Linked DNA regions of Diceros bicornis minor. The protein of the gene in region 2 interacts with the protein of the main gene of each other region in a pairwise test. Links are inferred from orthologs where the notes say so. Each region holds a gene or a part of one and is shown on either strand. Other genes may lie near its edges.

What was found. The genes of interacting proteins can lie anywhere in the genome.
Region 1: the proteins of DLC1 (region 2) and RASA1 interact in binary tests that used the Homo sapiens proteins (3 or more experiments, as listed by UniProt). The link is inferred for Diceros bicornis minor from reciprocal best matches to the Homo sapiens genes DLC1 and RASA1.

Annotation. Positions count from the first base shown.
Region 1 is NC_080740.1:14,384,564-14,392,152, forward strand, and holds the start of RASA1 (ras GTPase-activating protein 1), read left to right. Parts: upstream 1-4,283; 5' UTR 4,284-4,357; coding exon 4,358-4,875; intron 4,876-7,589. UniProt on the Homo sapiens protein: Inhibitory regulator of the Ras-cyclic AMP pathway. Stimulates the GTPase of normal but not oncogenic Ras p21; this stimulation may be further increased in the presence of NCK1.
Region 2 is NC_080768.1:25,141,087-25,149,350, forward strand, and holds the start of DLC1 (rho GTPase-activating protein 7), read left to right. Parts: upstream 1-5,047; coding exon 5,048-6,070; intron 6,071-8,264. UniProt on the Homo sapiens protein: Functions as a GTPase-activating protein for the small GTPases RHOA, RHOB, RHOC and CDC42, terminating their downstream signaling.

The DNA.
Region 1 (7,589 bases), on a different chromosome or scaffold from region 2:
TAAGATGAGGCCAACAAATGCAGTAGGGATGTTAGAGGTTAGGAGTAAAGGCTTCCTTTCAAAATTTTTGGGTCATGGAAATCTTTTTACACTATTTATATATTTGGAAGGCTATTTGTACAGCTGAGTATGTACTGGGGCTTAAAACACATTTGGGATTATTCAAACACAGGTGTAAGCTCTTTATCACTTCTGGCTTAGTCTTCCTCTCAGTAACTCCTCATATATTTGCTCTGAACCCCTTGAGGTTCTCTAAAATTGTATTTTTGACCCAGAATTACCTTTTCACATATTGAGGTATTAAAACTGTGAAATATTTCAGAATGTATTATTCATATTTGAGTTGCCAATAAAATCAGAATGAGCCAAATTAATTTTTTTAAACTAAATGTTCAGACTCTTTTCACCCACAAGTCTTTGTCCAGCATTTCTGATTATTTACTCTTCATTGAATACTATGTTTAATTCAATATTGGGAGTAACTTTTCTAAAATCACAGATGCCATAGATTGTTTTACTAAAGGTAAAATCTATTTTGAATTTTCCTCTCTTTTCTTTTGTATATTGTTCTGTTTTTCAGTACCTCCTTGTTTAATATTATCTGTGAATTTAATTAACAGACTGTTTACTTCCCTTTGTTAACTGATGTTATGTAACACCACACCTAACACCAACGCCTCTCTCCAAATAGATATTTCATAATTTTTTTTTTTTAATTGTTCTTGGTTTTTGACTCATGAAACTTCAAGGAGTATACTTCAAGGAGAATAGTCTTATGTCAGAAAATTCAGGGGCTTGAAAGAAAAGAAAAGGGAAACACAGAAGTAGAAACTGAGGGAGCAATTAACAGAAAAAAAGAGAACATGAGACTATAAATGAGAGAAGGGTAGAAGATCAAGGTAAGTAGAAAAAGAAAAAAGGCAACAGACAAAAATAAAGAAGGTAGAAACATTTAACCCTTTTGGAAAAAATAAAGTCACTGAAGATAGAAGACTGATTTGAGATTAAGGAAATACCCAAGAAATAGTGATCAAAGCCTAGATCTGTCCAGTAAAAGGAGTATATAAAATATTTGAAAATACCTCATCAAAAAAATGTGGTAGTCTGTTTGGATGAAAAAGCACAACTCTAAGATTGAATATAAGGTAAGATACTGGTATTAGGTTGATATACAAATAGACATAGCAGATCTTTCCTACTAGTAGAGCAACTGATGTCCAAAGATGTGAGCTGATTTAATCCAGCGTTTGTTAAAAGGATGGAGATCTGTTAAAGCATTTGGCAAGGATGCCTAGCACAGGGCTAGGCAGTAGGAAAAACCACAGGTTCTCTTAGCAGAATAGTTTTGTGGATACATACACCTAAAAGTAACTAGAAAACAGTATAACTCAGTATACAGTTGGTGTTGGACTGCATTAAATATTGGCCTTTAAGTGCTAAAGAATTTTCAAAAAAGGGGGAGGAGGTAATTGTGCAAATTAGAGTAGTGAGCCTGATCTGGAAGCTCAGGCAGTGTTCAGATAGTGCGTGGGCACTTAGAGAAGATCAGTGATAACCAAGAGCTGGCGATAACCTGCCGGAATAATGTCCTACATTCAGAGGCTGATGATGGTAATTGGCGTGGGAGTGTTGCAGGATTGGGATGCTAACACACTGCAGGCTTTCAAGCACAGGCTACATGAAAATTTGTTGCCAGTGAGTGGAATAGGTACTTTGACGGTCTCTTCTAACTCTGAGGGTCTAAGTTTAAAAGAAAAACTATTTTCAGGGAGGTGACTGTAAGAAGTAGGACTTGATTATTCTCTTCAAGACCATGGCTCTACTTCATTATGCACTTTCTCATTTTCTAACCTCCTTTCTAGAACAGCACAGAGCTTAGCAACCCAATACCAACATCTCTTACCCACCTACCTAATGAATGACATTGAGCCGGCTTTCTCATCTATTCTTTCTCTCATTCAGGATAATTGCACACCTCCCTCTTGATTAGCATACTACACTCTAGGACAGCGGTTCTTAAACGTAAATGTGTCAACTTGGAGGGCTCATTAAAACATAGATTGCCGCACAGTTTCTGATTCAGAGGGTCTGGGGTGGGGCCCCAAAATTTGCATTTTTACCAGTTCCTAGGATAGTGCTGGTCTGAGACCACTCTTGTGACTAGTTCATCTTCACTCTGCCAGTGGTACACTGCATAGGAGGTGAGCACGATGAGGGAGTCCTCAGGATTACCGTTTAATCAAGTTTGTCAGTGATTTGGCAAATAGGCTTATGCAAACTTCTAAAGTAAAGGAAAATGTCTTGCGTGCACCTTTCGCCCTCTTTTAGTGGTCTATTCCTTTTTTCCTGGGCCTCTATAACAGCCCCTTCCCATGCCCTATGTGGTACTATATTGGTTTGATCATCTTTAGCAGAGAAAATATTGATCTCAAAGATTAAATCAAGATTAAATATTAAAAAGATATTTAGAAAGATTAAATATTGATGTTTGAGATCAATATTTTATGGTATTTAATGTGGCATTCCTCCTGGGAGAATTTAAAAGATAAGAACAATATATGAATCCAAAAGGGCAAATTACTGGTACTGTAATTTCAAACAATGGGAATGATTCCTCCACGTACACGAATGCATATATTTTATTATAGAAGACAAAACAAAACCCATCTCTTTGGCTATATTAAGGGTGAGATTTCAGTTTATTTCTAATTTTTGAAACTATACTTAATTGTAACCGGCACTTGGGGACCCTCTTGACATTCGCCTTGTTGAAGGTGCTCTGTGCGTTCACGTGTGCATCGCGAAGCATGCCCTGCCGTCTTTCGCACACAAACGAGGACAAAAGTGCGTTGATTAGTGATGTCTCTGGCATCCCTCTTCTTCCACACCTCATTAATACTCAACCGACTTGCAATGGTACTCAACAAACTTGCTATGGCACAGGTAAGTGTGTGTGTGTGTGTGTGTGTGTGTGAGAGCGAGCGAGCGAGAGAGCGAGCGCAAGCGCGGAGGTGGGGGGGAGGGAGGATACGGATGGTTGGTGAAGAAAACAAAACGTGTCTAGAAATCTGGCTTCACAACCACTATTTCCACCAAAATTCCTTGCCCTCCTCATATGGACCCCTTTATCCATTTCGTTTTCTTCTCTTGAGTTTCAGAACCTAGTTTTTTATTTCATTTTATTTTTTAGTTTGTAATAGTTGTACACTGATTTATATTAGGCAACGAAAATGAAAACATTAATAGTACTGCCTGGACCTTCGAAGCAATATCCACCTTCCCCCGGGGCCTTGGGCGTCTGGTTTCTGCGCCGCGGGCCAAGGGTGTGTTTTCTACGGGTCAGGAAGTGGGGCACTGGCTTCGCGGCATCTTCCTTTCCCGTTCCCCATTCCGTCCTCTCACCGCCTCCCTGTCCCTCCCGTCTTCACGGCGCCCGGCGGCCGCGTGCTCAGGTACTCACTCCTCCCCTGCCCCGGCCCACCGGCCCACCGAACAAAGCCCAGGGAGGCAGGCGCGCGCCGCCGGCGACACCGACGGGAGGAGCGGCCGCGCCGCCACGCGCCAGAACCGGAGCGGGACAGCCGGCGCGTCCGCTCCCCGCGCGTCCCCGCCGCTTCCGTCCCTCCCGACTCTTCCTTTTCCTCCCTCCAGGCCCAGCCCCCCCACCCCCGCGCCGGGAACGCGCCTGCGCAGAAGCGCCGTCTCCCTCCTCCCCCGCCCTTCCTTCCCTCCGCTCCTCCTCCTGTGCCCCGCCTTCCTTTCTCTCTGGTCGATTTCACTGAGCGCTCCAGGTTGGGAGCAGTTCAGTCGGTTTCCCCAGTACCCCGCCCCCCTTCCTCTTATCTCCCCACCCCTCCCATCTGTAGCCCGGTGGAGGATGAAGCGGCTGCAGTGGCCCCAGCCCCAGCAGCGGCACCGGCGGTGGCTGCGGTGGAGGTGGCCGGAACTGGGGTGGTGAAGAAGCGGTGGCGGCGGCGGCGGCGGTGGCTGAAGGAGCGGCAGCCGCCCCAGCCGCTTCCCCTGCGCTTCCCTTCCTCTTTAGGGCAGCCAGGAAGTTTTTCGCTTCTGTGCATGTGTGTGTGCGTGAGTGTGGGTGTGTAAGGTGAAGGTTTGGGCGGCGTTTGTGCAGGCGTTGGGTTTTTTGCCCACTTCGCTTCCCGTAACCCGGGCAGCTCCGGAGCCTGGGCTGTGGCCCGAGGAGGGGGCGCGGCGGCGGGCTCTCTCCTTTTGTTGTTGTTTCCTCCGCCTGGGGAGCTGACGGGGGGACGCGCCTGGGTGGGGCGGCTCGGAGCCCGGGCCTGGTGGCCCTCGGGGCTCCCGGGCGGGCAGGGGAGGGCAGAGTCGAGCGGGCTTCAACATGATGGCGGCCGAGGCCGGCAGTGAGGAGGGCGGCCCGGTGACCGCCGGGGCCGCAGGAGGCGGCGCGGCCGCGGGCTCCAGTGCCTATCCGGCAGTGTGTCGGGTGAAGATCCCCGCGGCCCTGCCTGTGGCAGCCGCCTCGTATCCTGGGCTGGCGGAGGCCGCAGTGGCCGGGACTCTGGGTGGCGGAGCCGCTGCGGGGTCAGGGTTCCTAGGGGCCGTGTCCGTGGCGGGGGCGCTGGGGGGAGCCGGACTGTCAGGGGGAGGTGCTGCTGCTGGCGTGGCTGGTGCTGCCGCCGCCGGACCTGGCGGGGAGATGGCTCCCACCAAGGGGACCACTTCGTTGCCTGCCGAGCCCTTCGGGGCGGGCGGCGGATTCCCTCCTCTGCCGCCGCCTCCTCAGCTGCCCACTTTGGGCGCCGGCCTGGGAACAGTGGACGAAGGTGACTCTCTGGATGGACCAGAATACGAGGAGGAAGAGGTGGCCATCCCGCTGACCGCTCCTCCAACTAACCAGTAAGTCAAGACCACTGTTCTGGGACTGGGGAAGCTGGCTCCTGGAAAGAAGTGGGAAAACGTACCTCGTTCTTTCTGCTGTGATTTGTTCTGAGAAGTTTGGAAGCTTCAGGTTCCATGCGTAGGGATTTAATATGATCTCTCATCTTCCCCACAGGCATACTCCCTGGCGTCTTTGTCTATTTATTGCTCCTCTGGGAAGATGTAAAGTTTTTAAGATGGGAAAATGTGTATCCAGTGAGAACCGGATATGGTTCTGCCCCTTCCAAATTGAGCTGGCGGCCTGGGATTCAGCAGAGCTTGCAGCCGCCTAGGCAGTCATAGTCTGTATTAACTTGTGTGTGTTCCCGATTGAAGCTAGATGATGAGTGAGAAGCTCTGAATACGAGTATTTGAATCAGTATTGTACTGATATCATTTGAAACATGCATTGGTCAGAATGCTTTGCTTTTGTTGCACTGCAAATCCCACCTTCTGCTTAGTGAAAACCTAGAGGTGCAGAAAAGTCTTTGGATCACTTATGAAAACGTGGGTCAGCGAGGAAGGAAAGGAGTTCCGTGAATTACAGGTGTGATTAAGGGCCCATACTCCAGCAATGTTTGTAACTTGTGCCATAGAATTCCCATTTATTAATATTAGTGTAATTCTTTTATAGTTGTGACTTTGTAAGTACAACATTGAAGTAAAACAAATTAATAGTGTACTTCCCTTCAACACTTTTTCTTGGTGGCCGATACAATATTTTATTTGAGAATTAATTTTGACAGTCTACTGCAGAATATATAGGACAAATGACTTTTCTATATAAAGTTAGCACCTCCCCCTTACTTGTTCTCTACCTAGGTTAACTTATGGATGCATTTATAAAGGTGGACCTTGAGGAGAGGAAAATGTTGATGGGAAGTGGTAATAGTAGACAAAACTTGTTTTATAGATCACTCAGATCTGTCTTAATTGACCTTTAGAATTTCGACAACCTTTGATGAGTATCAGAGGAAAAAAGATTTGGTTTATATGTTCACAGTCACTCTGGACCGTTGAAAGGTTTTTTTTTTGGATAAGCATCTTTGGAGGATTTAGAAAGGACTTAAAAAATGACTTAGGAAAAGATTCTGTAGTAATCCATTTTTGACTTAAGGCTACATCTTCTGATACTTAAGGTGGAAAATTAAAGTTAGTCTTATTTATGTCAGCCATAGTATAGAGGTGTTGTATTCCTTTTATAGTGCTCAATATGAGTTAAATTTTTTTGTCTAATTTTGTTCCAACTTATCATGTTATGTCTATGTATTGCAGACTTTTCTAAAGGTGTTCTGAGAGTGTTAAAAATTCCAGTTTCCAGCACTGTTTCACCTTCAAGCCATTTTGAAAAAGTCAGATTTAAATATTAAGTGCCCACTATATGCTCAGCACTGTGGTTATAATAAAGTGCAACTTTTCATACTGAAAGAATATAGTCTTATTCCAGTTCATAACTGAATTGAATTAGGCATATTTAGTATATTGTAGTTCTAAATTTTTTTAAGTCAAATTTATTTTGTAGAGCAATTCTAGGTTCACGGCAAAATTGAGCAGAAAATACAGAGCATTCCCATTAAATTTTTAATAATAAACATGAATGGGTACATAGAACAAATTGTGTTTGTGAGAAGTCCATTGTGTAAGATTTTCATCATTATCACTTATATGTATTTAGGAATAAAAATAATATTTGTATGACTGTATATGAGAATTGTTCATGTTCTAAAAAGTATCCTCCATTTCTAGTATGTTTTTTAAATTTGCCACTGAGAAGTACAAATTTCCCTCTTTTCTTTATCTTAGATATCAACCCAGAGTCACTGGAGGCAATACAGTGTAGTGGTTAAGCGTGCAAATTCTGAAGTTAGACAAGATTTGGGTTGGAATCCTGACTCTGCCACTTACTAGCTGTGTGATCTTGGAAAGGTCAGTTTCCCCATCTGTAAAATGGGGATAATAATGGTACCTCCCTCATATGGTCGTTTTTAAAGTTTAATGAAAACCTTGAACATATTCAGCACAGTGCCTGGCACATAGTAAGTGTTTAGTAAATAGTCTCCCCAAATAACAAGAATATAATTTTATTGTCATTAAATTGCCTACTAATTCTATTGGTGTAGGGACTCTTTTCCTAATAGCTATTTGAGAGAATGTTTTGAACTCCAAAGACCTGTCTGCCATAATTAATTATATTAAAATTTTATTTTTACTTCATAAAAGCTTCTAGCAGATTAAGCAGGTTCAGAGATGAAATTCAAGTGTTTTCTATAAATTCCTATTTTCAATGAAAGGAGGAAAAAGCCTTAGTGACTTGGTTAAATAATGTCAAATTTCCCATAAAAGTATTGAAGAAATGTTTTTGGACTAAATTAATATTTGACTAGTGACTGTTCACTGTAGTTATTGATAGCATGGTATTAAGGAAGTTGGGGTCCCAAGATTGAGTCCACAGTGGTTTGTTAGACTAGGGTTCCACCTTGTATCCAGCTAGTGTGGTGTGTTGCTCACAAGAGAGTCAAGTGACAGTATGTAGATAGACCAGTGCCAATATATTAAGGCTGTTAGTATTTTGTACCTTGTTTTTTTGTGTGCATGGTGAATCATTAGTCTTGTGTTTATTACTGAGCATTTTCATCAGATTACTTAAGGCTGGAAAAGTTTGTATAATTTTAACTATTACATTTATTTGAATA
Region 2 (8,264 bases):
TTGCAAGATTCAGAAAATTTTCTTTATCTCAGGCAAATAACACACAGAATCATAACACTCTAAGTTGTTTTTAGCTATTTCTCCTGACATTTACCTCCATATTTCTAACCAATATGATTATACTACTTTTTTTCCATTTTAGACATTATCTGTTAACTTCCTACTGTAGAAAATGAAGACTTAGCTCTCTGAAACTATTCTCTCCGTCATCCCTAACCCTGTCCTCCACAAATCCTGTGCTTTGAAAATAGCTCTTTTGTAATTTCTTATTGTTACTACTTACTGTTTGCATTATTTTGGCTACACAAAATTTTCACAGCTAAGCCAAGTAGTGTACTATGATTACATTTTCTTTCTTTTAAAACCTTTTTTTTTCCTGGAGTTAATAATTGATTTTCCCTAGTTTCCTATGTAATTGTTACTAATTCTTCCACTTAAATTGTCTGATTTTATTATAAAATTCCTCTCAATGTGGTCACATACATCATATGATCTATTATTTCTATGTTTTTTCCTTAGAGACATCCTTTGTAAAGAACTTTAGAATCTACGTGAAATGATTGGCCACTAGACCTGGTACATAAATTTCATCCTGGAAATTCCATTCCCTGGTCATTGTGTTGAATTCCCGGCTTCCTTGTTGCCATGTCTTTCCCACTTTGTTTATTCTCTCATTTGAGTGGAACTATCCCTCTAGTAGTTTCTTGAGAAGAGGGAAAAAATTTAAGGCTCTTCATATAATTTTAAGGTAGAAATAAGTTCCCATCAAAATTTTGAAGGTATTTTGACTGTTTTATTTCCAGTGTTGCTAGTGAGAAATATAATAGCATTCAGATTCCCAATACCTAATATATAATGTATTTTTTCTCTGTCTGATAACATTTATGATCATTTGCTTACCTCTAAGATTCTGAAATTTCACAATAATGTTTCTTGGTGTGGTCTATTTTTATTCCTTGTGTTACTATACTCTGTGGATTCCCTTCAACCTGAAGACTTGGGTCATTAGTTCTCAGAAATTTTCTGAAATTTTTTTCTTTTAAAAATCTCTCCTCTCAATTTTCTCTGAAATACTCCTGAGAAATGTGGTTTCCCTCTAAGGTGACCAATGAATTTTCAAGTTGTAAGTAAATCTCTGGAATTTGTTGCTGCCTCTGCTATCTTTCCCAAAGAGATGATTCTAGAATAGTAAGAATCTGAAGCCAGAAAGAAATGGAGGACTTCTTCCACAGAGCAGGAAACACTACCTCAACTCCCATTTGACCTGGATGTTATTAACCACAGAGACCCTCATTCAGGTGTTTCCTCTTGGAAACCTGGGCTTCTTCTGGAAACCCTACCTAACATGTCCACCATCTTTGATACCACTCATGGAAAGAAAGAGAGAAAGAAAGGGGAGGTGGAGAGGGAGGAAGGAGGGTAGGAAGGAAGGAAGGAAAGATAGAAGGAAGGAAGAAAAGAGAAAGGGGAAAAGAAAGAAAAGAAGGAAAGGAGCAAGGGAGGGAGGAATTGATGACCCCTTGTTTTGTGTTAATCTTTCCGTGGTATTTGTGGCCATGAGAAAACTTACTTATTATTTTTGTTTACATGAGTTTCTCCCATAAAATTGTAAGCTCCTTTAGGAAAGGTAGAATATATTATTTAAGTTTATATTCCCAATGTTTAGCAGAGTGTCTGCGGCCCATTAGGCACTAAATAAACACTTGTTGAATAAATGATTATGATAAAACAGCATTGCTGTCAGTTCTACAGTAATGCCCGCTTGATTTCAGCCAGAAGTATTTCATTTGCACCATGTTCTCCCAGGCTACAGAATCAGTAATAGTGATTATCGTGAGGCTCTTCTTCCCTAAGGACAACTGCCAGGCCAAAATATAAGGCACGTGTTTATTTCAGAAGTAAGTACAAAGGAGAGCATGATTGATATCAAATACAGGTCAGTGATTCTCAAATTAGAATGTCTCCAATTCTTGTTGTTTTTTAGTACAATAATGTTCAATTTTGATTAACTTTAAAATACATACCGTATGACATATAACGCTTATGTTAAGAAATGGTGTTACAAAATTAACCCAAACAATAAATTTGAAATCACTTTGTGTCTAAACATCTTATGCACTAATATCACAAAAAGAAAATTTGGACATTTCACAAATATTTTCCAGAATCGTTACATAATTAGAGGTACGTAGAGTCTCTTGTAATATGAATATAATGGTGTTTGAACACACGAATTTAAGAAGTGAAAAATCCCCATGGAAATACACTTCATAAAATCTACACCCTAGAATGACCTACACTTTTCCAGATCCTTCATCCCAGTCTTCAGCAACTGAGCTCATTCTGAATGAAACTGTGTAAAAAGGATTACCAAAAAAAATGTAATACAAATTTGCAAAATAAGTAGTTAGTAAGTAGAAATATAATTTGAAATAAGGCAGCCTGGCGAGGAGACTCACAGGGAAAGTCGGGTCTTTGACAAAGACGTTTCAATCTTACAGCATGGATTCCAGTCAATTCAGATGATTTAGAAAATGAGGCTAATATTCTCAGATGCAATGGACGATAATCCAATGTTCTTTTTTATTAATATTCTGTTCAGCCTTTAGAACACAGTGGCAGATTTCAACTATAAATCTTACAAATCAGAATTTAAATAGGAAGTATGGATAAGAAAGCTTGCAGAGATAAATTTTTTAAAAATCTGTGAGACCACAGGATATGGACTGAGCACTCAAAAGGTAGTGATGATGGTCATAATCACAATTAGGAAACTTATGTCTAAAACTAAAGACACTGTACCTTCACAAGAATGATCTCGAAATGTCCAAAGAAGCTAGATTAGAAGTTAGGACAGAAGGAGTTAATGTTGTGTTGAATCTATCTAATTTACAATCCCTCTTTGCAGCTAGATTGTCTCAGAACTTGTTGAACTGTCTTCTTTGACGTTATAAAAATACTTACCTACTTGCCAAGGTTGAGTGAAATAAGTTAATTAATATTATGGTAAGGTCTTAACAGCAAAATTTGTATGTAATCTGTTCCCCAACGGGTTAATAAAACTCTATTTTTCCTTAGTAAAAGAAATGAAACCAGAATTCAGTCTCAACTTAAATGTAAATGTGGCTTAGGAAGGACACAGTAACACCACTTGGCATTTCTTAAGTTACCCTGATCTTTCTACCCTGGATAAAAATAAAGGAAAGAAAGCATCTAAAACAGAACCGCCCTATTACAACCCAAATTTGCCCATGAAAGCAGAAATTTTCTGGCCTGCATCTATGCGTTTTTTCCACTTTCCGTAGCCTCCCACACTATAATGACTTATGCATGGAATTCAGGGACTTTATATTTTCTTTTGAGTGCAAAATGAATGCCAACATGGAAAATGTGAATGCTGACCATTTTCAAAGATGGTACAGACCTTTGAGGGAACCAAATAGTATCCAGAAAGATATTTGGTCAGGCTGGAGTACCAAATTCTAGTACATTCCTCAACTTCACTGGTCTTTACAGGATGGGAATATTTACCTTTCTGGCATGTGCTTAGTCAGAATAGCTTGAAATTTTTGGTGGGGAGTCAGAATCCTTTTCAATAGACTGAAGTGACCCAAAACCAGCACAGCAGTTAATCTTGTTTATGGCTAAAATCAATAAGCCAATCCATGTTACGTGCTAACAGTTCTTATGGGGAGTAAAAACCAGACGTGTCTGCTCTTTGAATGGGATATTTCTTTTACAGTGCAGTAATTTGGTTTCATTATGGGACAACATTTAGGTCAGTCGTTTTTATAAGGCTGAGTTTACATTGGTATAATTTGTTTCCTTTAATGAAGAGTTTGAATAATTCAAGGCAAAAGAATGGATACCTGGAATGTGTTTATATTCTGACCTTATCTTATGCCTGGTTTTCTTGTTTACTTCAATTTTTATGGCCAAATTCTAACAGAAGTATACAAACCAAACTCCTTAGAAGCCAAAGAGAACGAGACTGAAATTTCTGAAGAATTGTCCCACTTGTGTTATCATGCGCGTATCTTCTTTTTGGTTCACCTGAACTCTTGCCTGAGGAGTTTAGATTTTATTCATACTAAAGATATGTGGAGGGAAGGGGCAGAGGTAGACTCTCATTCCATGGAGACAAGAAAGTTTGGCTGTCTTAGCCTGGGCCTTAGAACCAGGGCTTAGTCTGAATCTTGGCTTACTTCCTCGATGTATAATCTTGGGCAAGTCATTTAATTTCTCTAAACTTCATTGATACTAGCTTGCTAGCTAGTAGTAGCAGTAATAGAATGCATGTAAATGTGTTTATCCTAAGGCATTGTGTATGTATGTGTTATGCTTTCTTATCCATGAATTATGTGTTAATATGAGCTAAACTGGATTATTCCATGTTTCTCAGTCACTCCCTGGAGTAAATACATCCTGGTAATTTGGAATCTGCTTTAGCTCTTTCACACACTAATACATTACATGTGCTATCTCTACAGCTCAATTTTGCATGAACAGTTCCCTAGTGGCCTTTGTAATGACTTGTGTTCACAAAAGTAAACCAGGAAAGCATGTAAGCTAGAGCAACAAGTTTCTTCCAGTGACTTTTATTAAATATTGCAATCCAAATATTTTCTTTATGGAGTTTTAAATGTTCAATATTTATATTTTTATTCATTAATAGAACAATCAGGCCAGCTGCATTTAAAAGTATTGTCAATAATTTTTGACCAGAAATATAAAATGGGAAATTTTCTTCTAATATTAAGCTGCTTCTTAAAGAAGTAATACTATTAAAGTTATTAAACAGAAGCTTTATAAAATCTCTTACTTAATCTTTCATAGTACAGATTAAGTGCTCTCTTCTACAAGATATATTTTGACTTTAGAACTATATCCTGAACTATGTGTTTTTTTAAATTTTTTAATAGGTGGTGAAATGACAAAACTCACTCTCCTCTTCAAGTAGTGAATTTGAAGTAATATTTCATCAAACTCCATCTCCTGTAGTCTCATATGGAATGTATCTCTCTATCTGTTGTTAAACTACGATGACATGTCTGTTGCTATCAGAAAGAGAAGCTGGGAAGAACATGTGACCCAATGGATGGGACAGCCTTTTAATTCTGATGATTATAACACAGCATGTCATCATGGACTAGGAGCTGACAGCTTGCAGGCAAGTATGGAAAAAGATGCAACTTTAAATGTGGACCGCAAAGAAAAGTGTGCTTCACTACCAGACTGCTGTCCTGGATCAGAGCTGAGAGATTTTCCTGGGAGGCCAATGGGTCACATTTCAAAAAAGGTGGATGAAAATGACAGCCAAGAAGGTGAAGATCAGTTTCTTTCTCTGGAGGCCAGCACGGAAACGCTAGTGCACGTTTCTGATGAGGATACCGATTCCGATCTGTATCTTCCAGATGATAAACAGATTTTAATTACCCAAGAGCGTAAAACATCAGACCAACATAGTGTCACAGGAGCGGGCTCCTTGGTAAAGACACTGCCCATCATGGAAAGTAACCAAGATTCTTATAACTCCTGGGGAATGGCTGCTGGAGCTGATTTAGTGCTGGTAGAAGAAAGGGGGGAGAGAAAGGTTGTCGACATTATAAGCAAAAGCCTGGAGCTTTGTAATGATATAAGCTTAAGTGAAATAAAAGAGGCATCCAAAATCAATGCATGCGATTCTTTGAATGTGAAAGATATTGTGCCTGAGAAGCAATTGCTTAATTCTGCTGTAATTGCTCAGCAACGAAGGAAACCCGACTTCCCTAAAGATGGACATGAAAGAAACACCTGCAGTCTAGTCCAAGATGAGTTCTTGGCTATTCCTTGTACAGACAGAGGACTGCCATTATTGAAAGCAGATTCTGGAAGCTGCCTTCTGCAGCCTCCTTCCTGCCCTAGGGGAATGTCAGCTGAAAATGACCTGGAGAAGAGTGGTTTCTCAGAACATCAAAACAAAAGTCTTCCAAGGGTCAACTCAGGAGATGGTATGCAGTGTTTACACTTAAAGGAGACTCTGGCCACCCAGGAACCCACAGATAACCAAGTCAGACTTCGCAAAAGAAAGGTAAGACACATGCACAGATTATCTGGCTTTTGGAATTTTGTAAATATCCTTGTTTCCATCACTTATTATTTTGCTAGGATTAAAGAGATATTGTAGTGTAGTGTACCTGCAGTGTAATTGTATAACTCAGACAGGATCTTCTTGGGGAAACCATCAAGATATGTAAAAGTTTAAATATAATAACCTATCCATTTTACTAGTAATATTTACGGTGGTTTATGAACATTCTATTTTGGAATTGTATTGAAGACAGAATTGGTTTCACTTTCTTTAGTTGGAATTAAATAGCCACCAGATAGCTCACACTTCAAGCCCTATCTAATTTTTAGAAAACAAGTCATGGTATTTTTTTATTTAATATCATTTATTTGGGCCTGTTTCTTTCTCCCTTTAAAAAGTATATTTTATCATAGTAAAAATAGTAGAAATCACATATTAAAAATGATCCCTTTACATATACAAAGGCAATAGTACCCCCTCCATCAACCAAGATATGCTGATGCTATTTTAAATGATACCCTGGCACATTCACTATCAATACATATATCAACTTTTCTTTAACTCTTCACCAAAAAGGGCAAATAACTGAAATTATTTTTTCATGCCAAAGCCCCTTTGACTAATCTATAGACGCCATGCTCCGTTAAGAAGTTTCCAGATGAGAGAAGCAAAGATTGGAGTGGAGCTACATGAAGCATAGTTTAGCTAGTGAGCTGTTGACCAAAGTTTGCCTTATCTTTAGGATTTCCCCCAAATTCTTCCAACAATGTAGTGCTCTATAATCCTAGTGTCAATACAGGTACAATTTCTTCTGTAAATCCAACATGGCCATTGGCATTGAAAAAACCCTGCAGATTGGACGCTTTAGGGTAACATCCTTGCCCCACTTTTGATACAATATTAATCTATAATTGCAATTCTGCTAACACAAAACTAATGTGCTTAGTTCTGTTCAACTGAGGCTATCTACACTGAGAAAAAAAATCTCCAACTCTCTTTGTGGTGAAGAAATCTGGTTTCCAAAAACTGTGGTTTTGCTAACAAACTAGATCAGTAACATGTCATAAGCTAGTTTAAGTGAAGTCAAAGACTTTACAGCAATGATCAATGTGCTCAAATTGTATGCCTACAGAGCATTCTGTGCTTCTGGCAAACTCTTCCTTCCTTAAATTGTATTTAAATGTTAATGCTCCGTAAAGTTGTTATGGTTGGAAAGCTCAGGTCACTTTTTCAGAAATGCCCATATATCCTATCAAATCTGTTGGAGGGAATGCAATAATGACTTAAGAAAGTATTAACTGACCTATGACATAGTTCCCCTAAAATAAGACAAACCCTGCCCAACTGCTGACAGAAACATTAAACATTCCAGAAACATATGCTCACCACTTGGACATTTATATCAATACTAAGAATGCTGGAAAGAATTTGCTCTTGGACATGTCACTATAGCATGATTGCATTGTGAGAGCTGTAATTATATCTCATTTACAAGTTCTAACTTAAATATTCTATTTTAAACATTTCATCATTCTAAAGTGTTATGGCATTGTCTGGTGGAATATTTGCGTTGACTCTACAACTCATTTGGGATGCTTTGTAATAAACAGATTAAATGTAAAATTTCAGATATGGAATTTATTCTGGAAAAAGGCAGTTTTCAAAGAAGTGTCTAAAATCAAAACGTGTAGGAATTTTTGTTCTATTTGTTGTTGAAAGAGTGTTAAAATACCTTTGAATTGGCAATCAGCCATTTTAGAACTTTACCAAAAGAAATAATAAAACAAATTCATAAAAATATATGTACAGAGATGTTCATCGTTTTATTGTGTGACAAAGAAAGGAAACAACTCAAATTTCCACCAGTAAAGAATTTGCTTGATTATTGTTTATCTATAGTATGGAATGCTATGAAGCCACTAAAAAGATGGGGTGAGATCCACATGCACTAACTTTGAATGATGCTCATGATATAGTGTATCTGGAAAAAGACAGTGATAGACCAATACGTATAGCACATCCCAACCTTATATGACAAAATGTGTATATAGATAGACATAGATATAGACAATATAGATGATATAGATATAGAAATAGATATAGATATAGATATAGATATAGATATAGATATAGATATAGACAAGGGTATAAATCTCTCTATATTACAAACTAAGAATATGCAAAATTCTGGCTA